Stegostoma tigrinum: one gene and its partner. The protein of the gene in region 1 interacts with the protein of each later gene in a biochemical or structural test. Links are inferred from orthologs where the notes say so. Each region holds a gene or a part of one and is shown in the gene's direction. Other genes may lie near its edges.

What was found. The genes of interacting proteins can lie anywhere in the genome.
Region 2: the proteins of magi1b (region 1) and net1 form a complex in vitro, tested with the Homo sapiens proteins (3 studies listed by BioGRID and IntAct, with this or other methods). The link is inferred for Stegostoma tigrinum from reciprocal best matches to the Homo sapiens genes MAGI1 and NET1.

The regions. Positions count from the first base shown.
Region 1 is NC_081364.1:46,519,433-46,526,630, forward strand, and holds the start of magi1b (membrane-associated guanylate kinase, WW and PDZ domain-containing protein 1b), read left to right. Parts: upstream 1-4,194; 5' UTR 4,195-4,664; coding exon 4,665-4,962; intron 4,963-7,198. UniProt on the Homo sapiens protein: Plays a role in coupling actin fibers to cell junctions in endothelial cells, via its interaction with AMOTL2 and CDH5. May regulate acid-induced ASIC3 currents by modulating its expression at the cell surface.
Region 2 is NC_081378.1:11,120,950-11,128,439, forward strand, and holds the start of net1 (neuroepithelial cell-transforming gene 1 protein), read left to right. Parts: upstream 1-4,490; 5' UTR 4,491-4,538; coding exon 4,539-4,651; intron 4,652-7,490. UniProt on the Homo sapiens protein: Acts as a guanine nucleotide exchange factor (GEF) for RhoA GTPase. May be involved in activation of the SAPK/JNK pathway Stimulates genotoxic stress-induced RHOB activity in breast cancer cells leading to their cell death.

The DNA.
Region 1 (7,198 bases):
TGCCTGCTGTCCAATCCCTTGATTTCCGAGCAGATTTTTGTTTATCTCAGCCATAAGTACATTCAAAGATGGTGCAACCTCCAACCATTTGGGTCAAGATTCACAATACTTTGTGTAAAGAAATTTTGCATTCTCTCAGATCTAAATGGTTAGACTGTCATCCTGAAATTGTGCCCCTTGTTCTAGATTTCCCTGCTGGAGAAAAATATCTTTCAGAATATAGTTTGTCAAGCTCCTCCAGAATATTGAATGTTTCAATGAGATCAACTCTCATTGAACTTCAGAGAATATAAATCCACCTTAGCCTCTCATTATAGGATGATCCTCTCATCCCAGGGATCAATCTGGTGAATCTTTGCTGTACTGCCTCCATTATAAGTTATTTTAAATATGGAGATGAAAGTTCTCACATAATTTCACACACACTCTGCTTTATTATAGAAAGATTTCTTTATTCTATTACTCCACTCCTTCTGCATCATTTGCTGTCCTAATTGTGTGTTAATTTTTAATGTGTATTGTATGAGAATATGCAAGGCTCTACAAACATCAATGTTTCCAAGTTTACCTTTAAAATATATTCTGATTTTCTATTCTAATAAGCAAAGTGAATAACTTCACACTTTCCCATGTTACACTCTATCTGCCACCTTATTGCCCAATCAGTTCACATACCTTTATCTCTTTACAATTTCATTGTTCCTTCCTCACAGTTTGAATCTCAATTTTCCTAGTTGAAACATGTAGATTCACTGTTCTTTGTCTAAGTCATTAATATTGATTGTAAATAGCAAAGACTCCATCACTAATCTTTGGGGCACTCTTGAATCATAGTGTGCCAAATTGAAACAAACCCCATTTATTTCAAATCTCTAGGAACATAAGGGGCAAAGATAATTGAGAATTCAGCTATTTGGCCCATTCAGTCCGCTTCACCACTAGCCATGACTGATACGTTTCTCCACCCTATTCTCCTGCCTTCTCCCAATATCCTTCAATCCCCTTACCATATAGGAGCTATCTGATGAAGAGTCATCGTATGATACATTAACCCTGCTGTCTTCTCACAGGTGCTGTCAGACTTGCTGAGTTTTGAGATTCAAATTTCTGGCCTCTCTAGTACTTTGTTTTATCTCAGTAGTACATCCCACCTCTTGTATTCTAGGCGTCTCAAAATGAATGCTAACATTGCATTTGTCTTCCTAATTGCCAAGTGAGCCTGTATGTTAACTGTATGAGAATTGTGAACTAGGTCTCCTAAATTCCTCTGCTCTTTAGATTTCTGAAGCATTTCTTCATTTAGTATATAGTCTGTGCCTCCACTCTTCCTACCAAAATTAATAATCTTACATTTTCCCACATTGTATTCCATCTGCCATTTCTTTGCCCACACTCTTAGCCTTTGCAAGTTCTTCTACAGCATCCTGCCTCCTCAACATTACCTATCCCTCCACCTACCTTACTGTTATCTACAAACTTAGCAACATTATCTCAGTTCCTTCATCCAGATCGTCAATATATAATGGTAATAGTTGTGGCCCAAAGACAGATCCCTGCAGACCTCCACTAGTCACCAGTTGCCATCCTGAAAAAGACCCCTTCTTCCCACTCTCTGCCTTCTGCCAGTCAACCTCTCGTACCTTGACACTAACACATCTTATTTAGTAGCATTCTAGGTAGCACCTTGTCAAAGGCTTCTGAAAATCCAAATAGATCATGTCTACTGGCTCTCCTTTGTCTAACTTGCTCGCTACCTCCTCAAAAAATTCTAACAGAATTGTCAGGCATGATCTCTCTTCGAAAAGCCATGTTGAATCAGCCTGATTTTATCACTACTTCCAAATCTCCACAAATCTTGGCCTTAATAATGGACTCTAAAATCCTACCAATTACTGCATTAGGCTAACAAGGCTAGAATTTCCCATTTTCTGCACCTTCTTTCCTTCATGAGGGCCATTTCATTTGCCATTTTCCAGTCTCCTGGGACCTTTCTTGACTCCAGTAATTCCTGAAAGATCACCAACAATGCCTCCACAATTTCCTCAGCTACCTCCTTCAGAGCTCTGGGGTGCAGTCATAGAATCCCTACAGTGTGGAAGCAGGCCATTCAGCCCAATGAGCCCACACTGACCCTCCAAAGAGCATCCACACCCAACTCTCTACATTATCCCTCTAAGTGTACACTTTGCATGGCCAATCCACCCAACTTCCATATCCCTGGACACTATGAGCAATTTAGCATGGCCAAATCACCTAACCGGGACATCTTTGTACTGTGGCAAGAAATTGGAACACCCAGTGGAAATGTGCAAACACCACACAGACCTATAGTAGAATCAAACCCAGGTCCCTGTCAATGAGATAGCAGCTCTAACCACTGACCAAGCGTGCTGCCCCCAGTCCATTTGGTCCAGGCAGTTAAACTATCTTCAGACCTTTCAGTCACCTAGTTCACTACTCTCCTGCATGGAAGGAAATCTGGTCTGGTCTAATTATAACACTAGACCCGCAGCAAAGCGGTTTACTCCTATCTGGTCTCTGGGCAGCTCAGCAGTAAAGCCATTGATATCCACATCCTGTGAAAAAAAGTACAAAGTACAAAGAAACAAAACACAATACTCTGGGATAATGGGGACTGCAGATGCTGAAGAATCCAAGATAACAAAGTGTGGAGCTGGATGAACACAGCAGGCCAAGCAGCATCTCAGGAGCGCAAAAGCTGACGTTTCAGGCCTAGATCCTTGATCATCATCTCTGATGAAGGGTCTAGGCCCAAAACGTCAGGTTTTGTGCTCCTGAGATGCTGCTTGGCCTGCTGTGTTCATCCAGCTTCACACAATACTCTGGGTGTGGTCTCACCAGTGTTTAATACATTTGAAGCAAGAATTTTTTACTGTCTGCTTCCTGTTAGCTATCTCTTGATCTGCTGGACCTAGGGAATTTTGAAAAATCATAATCAGCATTTCGGCTGTACTTGCAACTATCTCTATTAGAACAGGAGAACATAGTCATTGATTGGGTCCTGCGGACTTGTTGGGGTTTTATTCCCTTGAGTTTGTCCGGCACGTTTTTTTACGCTGCAAGTATTAATTACCTTAATTTCACCAATCTTATTAGCCCCAAAGTTATCCATTTTTTTCCTGGTTTACAACTTGTATGGTCTGCGGAGAAGACAGATACACAATACTTGTCTCTTCCACTTACTCACTGTTTATGATCGTTTCTTCTGTCTTTAATAAGTATTCAATATGATAGTTTGTGTCACGACATCGGATATAACTGCACAGTAGACAATGTGCTGAGAATTTGTACTTGTTTCATCGCCTTTTCAGCTTTTTTTGTGTTCCATTTTACAAAGCTTTGTGGTAAACAAGGTTAGTTTATTATATACCTATTGCTGCGAGCCAAGAAGTTAAAAATATAAAGCTATTAGTTAAAATGCAGCTACACGAAGTGACATCTGCTTTGAAGAAAAAAAAACAGCTATGCTTAATCGTCTCGTCGGACAATCCTGTGCCAGATTAGTCAGCTCTCTTCTCTGTCTGCACAGGATCTTTACAACTGACCTGAAAATTGTGCATTTTTCGAGACCACTCTCACATATCGCCCGTTCGCGTGAAGGGATACACTGAATATTTTTTCAATGCCAATTTTGGAGGAGTTTGTTTCGAAACAAACCAAGTTAATAAAAGTTGTCTCAAACAAAAGAACTGCGGATGCTATAAATCAGGAACAAAAGCAAAGTTGCTGGAAAAGCTCAGCAGGTCTGGCAGCATCTGCGAAGGAGAAAACAGAATGAACGTTTCGGGTCCAGTGACCCTTCCTCAGAATTGAGGAACACAGAGGTTCTGAGGAAGGGTCACCGGACCCGAAATGTTAACTCTGTTTTCTCCTTCACAAAAGTTGTCTCAAACTAGTGCAGCGACGAGTTGCGGGCGTAAACCACAGAAAAAAAAAAGGCTTTCAACGTTGCCTGAGAGATCCTTTCCCCTTTCTGACTGCGTTGGCGAGTTGGGCGCTCTTTCTAGCTTAGAAAGGGAGTGATGCCAAGGGAGAGAGACTCTTCGATTGCGGCGGGACTGGCCTCCGAGGTGGAGGCGGGCGTTAGGACCCGGCTGGGGGCGGGGCTTCATTTACATGGGCGTGGGGAGGGGAGCTGCGGGAGGTGTGGCGCATGCGCTTAAGCCAGTCTGGAGCAGAGTGAGAGTGTTGCTGGAATTGAGCCGGAGTCTGGTCAGAAAGTGGGAAACGTACAGAGAAGAGTTGGATTAAAACAACCGCTGTCGCCCCCCCACCCCATCCCATCCACCCAGCACTGGGAGGAAGTGCAGTGCACCCTCAAATTGGATTACTTCCAGGCACTGGGGCTTCTTCCTTTCTGAACCTTTCGTTGTTTCCCTTTTGTTTGGGGAAATCCAGGGGACACAGATGTTTGTGGAAAGCTGAGGCGATGGTTTTTGCAGCAGGAACTCGGGAGCTTGCCTCGCAGAAGCCGCTGCTGCCTCCGCCACAGCCCGGGACGGTGCTGCTGCTTCTGCTCCAAGTTTCTGTGTGAGTAAGGGGACCGAGATTCTTATGATCCGCTTCATCACCTGTTTGTGCCCTGTGTCCTAAGGCAGTTCTGCTGGCTCTCTCCCGCTCCAAATCTAAACCAAATAAACACCATGTCGAAAGTGATTCAGAAGAAAAACCACTGGACCACCAAACTGCACGAAAGTGTGGTCTCTAAGAACAGGCAAGGGGAGCTGCCTTTTGTCATCTCAGGTGGGGCTGAGAGTGGAGAGTTTTCCTACTTGCGGGAGGCGAACCAGGATCAGATCGTTTACACCTCCGGCGAGCTGAGGGAAGGCGAGTTGCTGCTGGAAGTGGATGGAGTCCATGTGTCCGGGCTGCCCCTCTATGATGTCCGCGCCCTGGTCAGGAGCTGCAAGGGGCCGATCCGCCTGAAAACTGTCAAACAAGGTATGACCCTAGGCCAGTGCACCTCGCTACATACCACCAGATACGGTGGCGTGCACTGGCGGCTGCGCTAGCTTTACACACACGCACACAAACACACATACACGCACCCACTTGAGTCGCTATCGTCTCAAACACAGGGATCAGGTGGTCAGTGGTCGATTTTTTTTTGTTGCTTACCTGATTACTGTACTGTGCCGATCACAGTTGCAAAACCCCACCCTGAGACATGAACCAAAAATTCCACCAGTTGCTTGACAATGATCAACTGGATCTTGATGGTGTTTGTGTAGAGGTAGAATTCATTGGTCTACTGGGATCATATGTAGCGTTCTAAGTTTATATAGCACTTGGAAGATCCCTAGGTTTGTTCAAGTGGACTAAAGAAATGCTGAAGGCCACTGCTAGCTAGTCTCCTCTTGCCACTGCTGTAATCCAGGAGAGTAGCAACTTCAAATCTGCTTATAAATAAATACCAGCTTGAATCATAAGTTTACACTAATTTACTGATGTGACCTATTAGTTTTATAACAGGGTCCTTTTCAATACTTATTTCAGTACAAAATGTTTACTTCCACTTTGTCATTTTCAAATCTTTTAAATAACAAAGACTTGCCCAGAATAAGTTCAACAGCCTGACGAACTTTGCTGGTTGAAACAAAGGTTGACATTCATGTATCTTTCATGACTTCCAAAGTACGTTTGAAATGCAGTCACTCTTGTAACACAGGAGACACTAATTTGAACACAGCAAACTCCCATAAATAGCAACCAGTAATGACCACGTATTCTGTTTTTGTGATGTTGATTAGGATAAATTTTGACCTGGACATAGATAACTGCCCAGCTCTTTTGTTAAAATTGTTCAGTGTGACCTTTCACATCCTCCTGCAAGCAAATCGGATCTTGTTTTCTTATCTTATCTAAGAGGCAGTCCTCCAGTGGAGTGTCATCTGCCTTTTATACTAGAATGGGACTTGTGGTTTTCTGACTGAGCAGCAAGTGAGTTACCAATTCAGCTGTGAGGCTTCTTTACATCTTAGTACTCTGTATAAGCCTTGGTCACGGGTCTCCTGCAAAAATGTAAATTTTCTTCATTGACCTGAATGGGAATGTTTTTAAAGTTTTAATAATTGCTAATTTTAGTAATAGCTTTATGCAAATAAATAAATTATAAGAAATGAGTACCATTTAGTAAGTTTTATTGGTGGTTAAATAGTATTCAAATTGAAATCAAGTATTTCCTGTGCCCTGCAAGAGAAGCGAAAGCTGGAAAATGTTGGTGATCTGTCTTTAATTTGGCTACAAGTGATAGCGCAATTAATTCTGACTCTGGGGTCTGTGTAGAAATGCATTATAACCCATGTGTACAAATTAATTGCTGTATGCAGCATATGCTTAAGAAGGAATGTGTTCACCAACCTGTAGAGGAACGGCCTGCATGTCCCCATTTTTGTAAACAAAAAACAAATTCATTCTCGTGTCTTGTGTAAAGAACAGGAAGACATGAGCTTGGCAATGGAATTGATTTGGAAAGCCAACCCTATTGACCTTAAGGCTATAAAGACAATAAGGTCTGGTGGGTTCAACAGGTTGGGGATGGTGGGGAAGAGAGAGGATTTTGAAATTTTACTATCTAAAGGTACGAGCAGAGTTCAGTTTCAAGGCTGTAGTACATTACAAAGATTCTGATGACAAACTGTAAAAGCAAAACTTTTGCATTTTGTCGTCTGACTGTCTGTTGGTTGAATGTGTCTTGGCACATAAAGTTTGTTCTCTATACTCTGCACAGAAAAAGAAATCTTATTCATAAATTGGAAACAAAACTTTATAGTACAATTAGAGTTTGTAGTTGTCCATTTTAATCATTTTTTTCCCAGTAGCATTGTAGTAATTACAGAGCTCAGACATAATGTACTTGACATGTTGTTGTTATTCAGTGAAACCTTGCTTTTGTTAAACAAAAGCAACAGTCTTACCACCCCCCTCCTTTTTTTGCTGAATACAACCAGCATGATTATGTTTTTACAGAGATGGTGAATTTAATTGATCATATTGCATGAATAAATGGCAATGCACCAAAACAAGTGGTTTTAGGACCGATTTGAATTACGTTGGTTATATTTAGACCTTTAAAGATGATGTTACCAGTAATGGTACATTCTCACATTTTGTCATCTGAATAAATATGGGTCACTTGTCTAAGGTTCAAAGCACATTCTAAGAAACAGATTTCGTA
Region 2 (7,490 bases), on another chromosome or scaffold:
TGTTCAGTTTTGGTATCTTTACAGCCAGAAACATATACTTGCCATGGAGACAATGTAACAAAGATTCAGCAAACTATTTCCTGGGATAGAAGGATTGTCCTGTGAAGCAAGATTGAATGGACTAAACATTTATTTTCTGGACTTAAGAATGGAGGTGGTGATCTCAATTAAACAAAATTCTTACAGGAGTTGACAGTATAGTTTGAGTAGAATGTTTCCACTGATGGACAAATCTATAACTTGGAGGGACAGCTCCAGAATAAGAGCTAGAGCAGAGAAGATTGAGAAGAAGAATTTCCTCATGCAGAATGTACTGACTCTTCATAATTCTGTCCTTGAGGACTATGGAGACTCAAATCATTGAATATATTCAAGACAGATGTTAATTTAAGTGTTATAAAAATAGTGCAGGGAAGTGGCATTGAATAGAAGATCAGCTGTGAGGTCACTAAATGGTGTAGCAGGCTGAAGTGGCCGACTCACTTATTTTAATTTATGGAAACTAACATTCTGTTCTCCAAACAGAGTTCACAGCAAAAGAATGGGTACATGCTCTCTCCCTGATTGAGTTAGTTAATAATGTATTAATGACTCGGAGGGAGGGAAGTGAAGATACTGAACCAAATTTACAGATAGACAACACTAAAAATAGATATAAAGGCAGGTTGTGAGAAGCATACAAATAGTTCACAGAGACAGGCTGATAGGTTAAGTGGGCAAAAAGTTAGCAAATAGACTGTAGTGTGGAAAAATCTAAAGTTGTTCTTTTTGGAAGGAAAACTAAAACAAAATTGGACAAAAAATTGCAGAAAGGTGCAACACAAAGGAATCGGGGATACTTGTGCATGGAACAGAGAAAGCTAACACAGATGCAGCAATTAATCAGGAATGCTAATTGAATATTGATCCCTATTTCAAGGTGTTGGAATAGATGAGTCAGAAATCTTACTGCAATTGTACAAGGTATAGTGAGACCACAACTCAAGTGCTGTGTGCAGTTTTGGTCCCCTCAATTGAGGGAAGATATTACTTCATGGAAGGCAATTCAGACAAGGTTCACTAGAAAGATCCCTGCTTTGGAGGGACTAAGATCATAAGACAGCAGAAATTGGGCCATTTAGCCTATCATGTCTGCTCTGCTATTCAATCAGGTTTCACAACCCCATTCTCCTGCTTCCCCCCCCCCCCCCCAAAAAAATTACACATTCTTGATGCTAAGGGTTATCTGTCTTAAATGTACTCAATTGTCTGATGAGCAAAGGCTAAAGAGGTTAGGACTCACTGGAGTTTAGAAGAACAAGCAGTGGTGATCTCGTCGAGACATACAGGATTCTTCAGAAGCCTGACAGGGTAAGTGCTGAGGGGGATGTGGAGCCTCATGAGAGTCTAGGGCCAGAGGCACAGACTCAGAATAAGAGGGGCACCAATTTACAACTGAGATGAGGAAGAATTTCCTCTCAGATGTTTGAGTGTCTTTGGAATTCTTTGCCAAAAGAGAGCTCTGGGACCAGTGTCCTTGTGTACATTTTAAGGCTGAGGTAGATAGGTACTTGATCAGTAGAAGAATCAAGGACTATGGAGAGAGGGCAGAGCAGGAAAGTGGATGTGAGGAATGTCAGATCAGCCATGATCTTGTTGAATGGTGCAGCAGTCTTGAGGGGCTAAATGGTCTACTCCTGTTCCTATTTCTTATGGATTTACGAACTGATCTCAACTCTTTCCTGCCATTTTCTCAATGCTGGATTCCCTTATTGATGAAAAATCTCTCTCAGCCTTGAATAGACTTTACCCAGAATGCTGCAGTGACTGGTTAAGAATTCCTCAAATGAAATTCCTCATCTGTCTTTAACAGGCAATCCTTCACTTGGAGATTAAGCCCTCTGATACTAGTCTTTTCCACAAGGGAAGCATCTTCCTGCATCTACCCCAATAAGCCTCCAAAAAAAATCTCATCTGTTTCAATATTCTCATTCTACTAAATACCAATAAATTCAAGCCCAAACTACTCAACCTCTCTGCATAAGAAAATCCCTCCATAAACTAACCTAATGAATCTTTTCTGGTCTGCCTCAAATGTCATTATATCTTTGCTTAAATCATGGGCCCAAAGATGTTCACAGTATTCTACTTGTGGTCTGACTTGTATCTTTCATAGATGAATCAAAACCTCTTAAATAAACCTATTCCCTTTGAAGTAAAGGCTAATTATGCATTTGAAATTCCTGCTACCCACTGAATTTGAATGCTAGCTTTTTAGTAGTGAGGATCCCAAATCCTTGAGCAGCAGTTTCCTGCAATCTTGCCATTTTAGATAATATTCAGCTATTCTAATCTCCCCACTAAAGTGCATAACCTTACAGATGGAATATAATGTGAAAAAATAAGAATTTTTCCCCCCCACTGTCTAAATCTCTCCACACACAGTACATCATCCTTGTATTTTCTGAAAACTGATATTCCATTCACTTCCTTTCCCCAAGCCAGTGTTGTTGTAAATTGTGGCCCCAGCACTCATTCTTGTGGCATCCCATTAGTTACAGGTTGCAATCTTGAAAAATGATGGCTTTATCCTAACTCTATTCAATTAGCTAGCCAATCCTTTATCCATGCTAATAGAATTATCCCTTGCACCACTAGCTCTTAGGCACCATCTTATTGAAAGCCATTTAGAAATCAAAATATATAACACTTCCTCTAACTTATTAGAGCAAAGAATTCTAACAAATTTGTCAGGCATGATTTCCTGTTTATGAAGCTAACTCTGCTTAATTGTATTATGCATTTCTAAGTGGTCTTGCTTTAGATCCTTAATGATAGATTCAGATTGCTTCCCAATTACATTAAGCTAAGGCTTATTATTTGTATTCATCTCCTTTTTTTGGGTAAGGGTGTTGGATTGGCAGTTCTTCAGTCCTCTGAAAACTTTCCAGAATTCTTGGAAGACTACTACCATTCCAGCTACTTCCTTTAATACTCTAGGATTCAACTCAGATCCAAAAGCCCAATTAGTTCAAGTTACATTTCTTCCCTTTTTTACCCTCTTAGAATCTTCAACATGAAGACTGATTTAAAGTACAGTTGGTCCCCAATTTACAAACATCTGACATCATGATCACCTGTACATATGAATGCAATCCTATACATGGTTGTAATTTTAATGATCCAACATATGAACATTTTCTGTATTTACAAATACCTACTTTATATTATCCTGCATTATGTTCCAACATGCATAAAGATTAATTTGGAAGTGGATTCAAGAATGGAACCCATTGCAACCTGATTACCTCTTGGAATTTTTCAAGATTTTTGCCATTTCCTAGTTTCCCCTCACCTCATTATCTAAATGGCCTATGGCATGTTCACTTTGACCTCATGCTTCCTTTTGAAATATTTAAATAAGGTCTTACTCCTAATTTTTGTATTACTTGCTAGTTTGTGTTCACTTCTTCTTCCCCCCCCCCCCCCACTGTCCTTTGGTGGCTTTTAAAACTTGTCCAATTCTCTGGGCTACCATTAACTGTCACATTGTAGGTCCTCAGCTTGGTACTAACCTTGACTTCCTTGATTAAACATAGTCAGGTTTACTCCCATCATACAGATATACAGTCCAGAAACACATCAAGTCCAACTCGTCCATGCTGGCCAGATGGCCAATATAAATCTAGACCTATTTGCCAGCATCTGGTTCGTACCCCCTTAAGCGTTTCCTATTCATATACCCATCCAGATACCTTTTAAGTGTTGTAAACCTACCAGCCTCCACCACCTCCTCTGGCAGCTCATTCCACACAGGCACCACCGTCTGAGAGAGCGTGTTGCCCCTTAAGTCCTTTTTATATCTTTCCCCTCTCACCTTAAAACGTTTTTGAAGAAGGGTTCCAACGCGAAACGTTGACTTTTCCTGCTCCTCGGATGCTGTCTGACCTACTGTGCTTTTCCAGCTCTGCATTTTTGACCCCATCATATCTGCGTCCACCAACACCCCAGACCGCGTGTTCCAGACTCCTACCACTCAAAAATAACTTGCCCCTCACATCTCCTTTAAATTTCCTTCCCACACCTTAAATGTATAAAACATAATTGTAATACGTATAAAAAAAGTGAACTCGAACTGATCTACAGAAATATACAAAATAAGTGAACCTAACAATATCGTGTAGAACATGGTTACATATAAAATAATGCGAATTTAAGACGTTTTGCTACTTATGAAGTTTAGCTTCGGGGAAACATTTCGTTTGCACAGAGAATTTAATAGATTGATGTATCCTTGCCTTCACTGATGAGCGTATTCTCACCGCGATTGAGGCTTCACATTGGTTACGGAGGCGGAAGGCCCCGGCGACGAGGCGGGCGCTGATTGGCGCATTCCAGCGGCGGCAGTTTCAAACGCAAGGGGGCGGTTAGAGGCCCAAGTCCGGAGAGACCGGGGATCGGGGAGCGATCGTGGGGGAGGGGAGTGACAGGGGTATTTAGAAGAGACCCGAGGGATCAGTGAGGCCCAGGGCCGGTGACAGCAGTCCCACACCGGCACCATGAGTCAGGCACAGCCGCTAACGAAAGAGAACAGGCGGCCCCCCTTCAGGAGGAAATCCTCAGTGGCATCCAGCAGCCGCAGCTCCCCAGAGCCAGCGGACAGCAGCAGACGGTGAGTGAATGGAAGCCGGTGGTGGGGAGTCTGGAGTTGAGCTTGCACCCGTCCTTCACCAATTCCCTCTCCCTTTCAATGTTGTTCCGTTAACACTAATCTTCACATATAGTTATACCTTAATTGAATAACAAGCAGAAACAATTAAGTAAACTCGTCAGTTTGGTCATGCTTTTGCTTAATACATGTTTGAAAATTTCTCTGAACTCGTGTGCTTTGGTACTTAATAGCATGCAACAAAAGTCATAGAGCTGTACACGGTAGGCAAATAGGAAGCTGGAAGCAGGCAACGTTTCGGGTATTACCCTTGTCAGGACTAAGTAAAATCGCAAACCGAAAGGTAGCTTAAGAGATCATATTTAGTTTAGTTTTGATTTTAACAAGGTGATCTCTGACTGAAACAGAAACACATAGAATCACAGATTTGAACAGTATGAAAACAGATGCTTTGGTCTAACCTATGCTGACCAGATATCCCAAACATATCCAGTTCTATTTCCCTCTAAACCCTTCCTATTCATGTACCCAGCCAGGGCCTTTTCAATGTTGTAATTGTACCAGCATCCACCACTTCCTCTGGCAGCTCATTTCATACATGCACCACCCTCTGAATGAAGATGTTGCCTCTTCGATCCTTTTTAAATCTTTTCCCCTCTCTCCTTAAACCTATGTCCTCTAGCTTTCAACCCCCTCACCCTGAGAAAAGATCTTTACTATACCTCCCAAATCCCTGCCCCTCATGATTTTATAAACCCCTATAAGGTCACTCCCTCAGCCTCTGATGCTACAGGGAAAATAGCCCCCGTCTATTTAGCCTCTCGCTATAGCTCAAACCCTTCAGCCCTTGTAACATCCATGTAAAACTTTTCTTAACCCTTCCTAGTTTCACAATACCCTTCCTATTGTAGGGAGACCAGAATTGCATGCAGTATTATAATAGTGGCCTAATCAATGTCCTGTACAGGCACTACATGACCTCCCAACTCCAAAATTCAATGCACTGACTAATAAAGGTAAGCGTACTAAATGCCTTCTTCATTATCCTATCGACCTATGACTTCACTTTCAAGGAACTATGAACCTGTACTCCGAGGTTTCTTTGTTCAGCCAAAATCCCCAAGATCTTACCATTAAAGGTTTAAGTCCTGCCTTGCTTTGCCTTTCCGCATTGCAACACCTCACATTTACCTACATCTGCCACTCATTGACCCATTGGCCCATCTGGTCAAGATCCCGTTGTACTCTGAGGCGATCTTCTCCATTGTCAACTACACCTTCAATTTTGATGTCATCTGCAAATTTACTAACTATACTTCCTAAGCTCACATTCAAATGAAAAGCAGTGGAAAATCTAAAGCAAATTCTTGATATAAGCTTTACATTAACATAGCTCAATTATTTTTGATTTTACACTTTTATTATTTCAAAGTCTTCTACCTTTTGAATTTTTTATTTAGTTTCTTTTGATGTTTTTCAAGTTAATTGGACAACATTTATTTTTGGAAAGTGTTTTCTTCTTACTTGAGTATGTCACGACATGGGAGCTTAGCTATTTAAGTAAATGTTTCTCAGTCAGCTTTGCATCGAAGCTGAAGTTGCTTGTCTGCATGACACTATTGATTTTACTGACATTGATTTTTGTGTGGGGATTCGATTTAATTGTAATGCATATAGGATGTACTTTGATATTCTAGAATTGATGTTCTTGGAAACATTGGCATACGTCTTCCAAGTTATTCCTGATTCCATGTCAACATTTTCTGGATTGTTTGTACCACATTGCTATTGTCTATGCCAAAACTGAATTGTTAGTTACCCACTTTCCATGCTATCCATATACTCCCATAAAATTATCAATAGTGATTGTGAGTTCCCTGCTGTTACCACGTAAGCTGGAAAATCATGTCTATAATGATGGGACAGCCATCTGATTTCATCAGAAATAATTTGTATTTATATGGTGACTTTAATGTCAGGAAACAACCAAAAATACTTTGAAGCAGCATCATGAATAAAAATTTGACATCAAGCCACAGAAGGAGATATTAGGCCAGATAGAATCATAGAGCTGTACAGCACAGAAACTGACCCTTTGGTCCAACTTGTCTCTGCCAACCAGATATTCTAAATTAATCTAGCCCCATTTGCCAGTATTTTGCCCATTATTCCTTAAAACACTTCCTATTTATACACCCATCCAGATGTCTTTTAAATGTTATAATTGTACCATGCTCCAACGCCACATCCTCTGGCAGCTCATTTCAACACGTGCCATTCTCTGCATGAAACCATTGTCCCTTAGGCCCCCTCTCACCTTAAACCTATGTTCTCTAATTTTGGACTCCCCTACTCTGGAGCAAAGGGTACCCTTGGCTCTTCACCCTATTCATACCTCTCATGTTTTTATAAACCTCAATAAGGTCACCCCTCGGCCTCCAATGTTCCGGGGAAAATACCTGTAGCCTATTCAGCCTCTCCATATAGCTCAAGCCCTCCAACCCTGGTGACATCCTTGTAAAGCTTTTCTGAACCTTTTCAAATTTTACAACATCTTTCCTACAGCAGGGAGACCAGAATTGAATGCGGTATTCCGATTGTAGATGATCCATTATCCTGACCAGCTGCAACATGACCTTCCAACTCCTGAACTCAATGCAATAACGAATTGAATGCCGTATTACAAAGGTAGCCGAACCAATATCCTGACCAGCTGCAACATGACCTCCCAACTCCTACACTTAATGAACTGACCATAAAGGCAAGAGTACTAAACTATCCTGTCTATCTGTGACTCTAGCTTCAAGGAACTGAGTCTACACCCCGAGCTCTCATTGTTTGG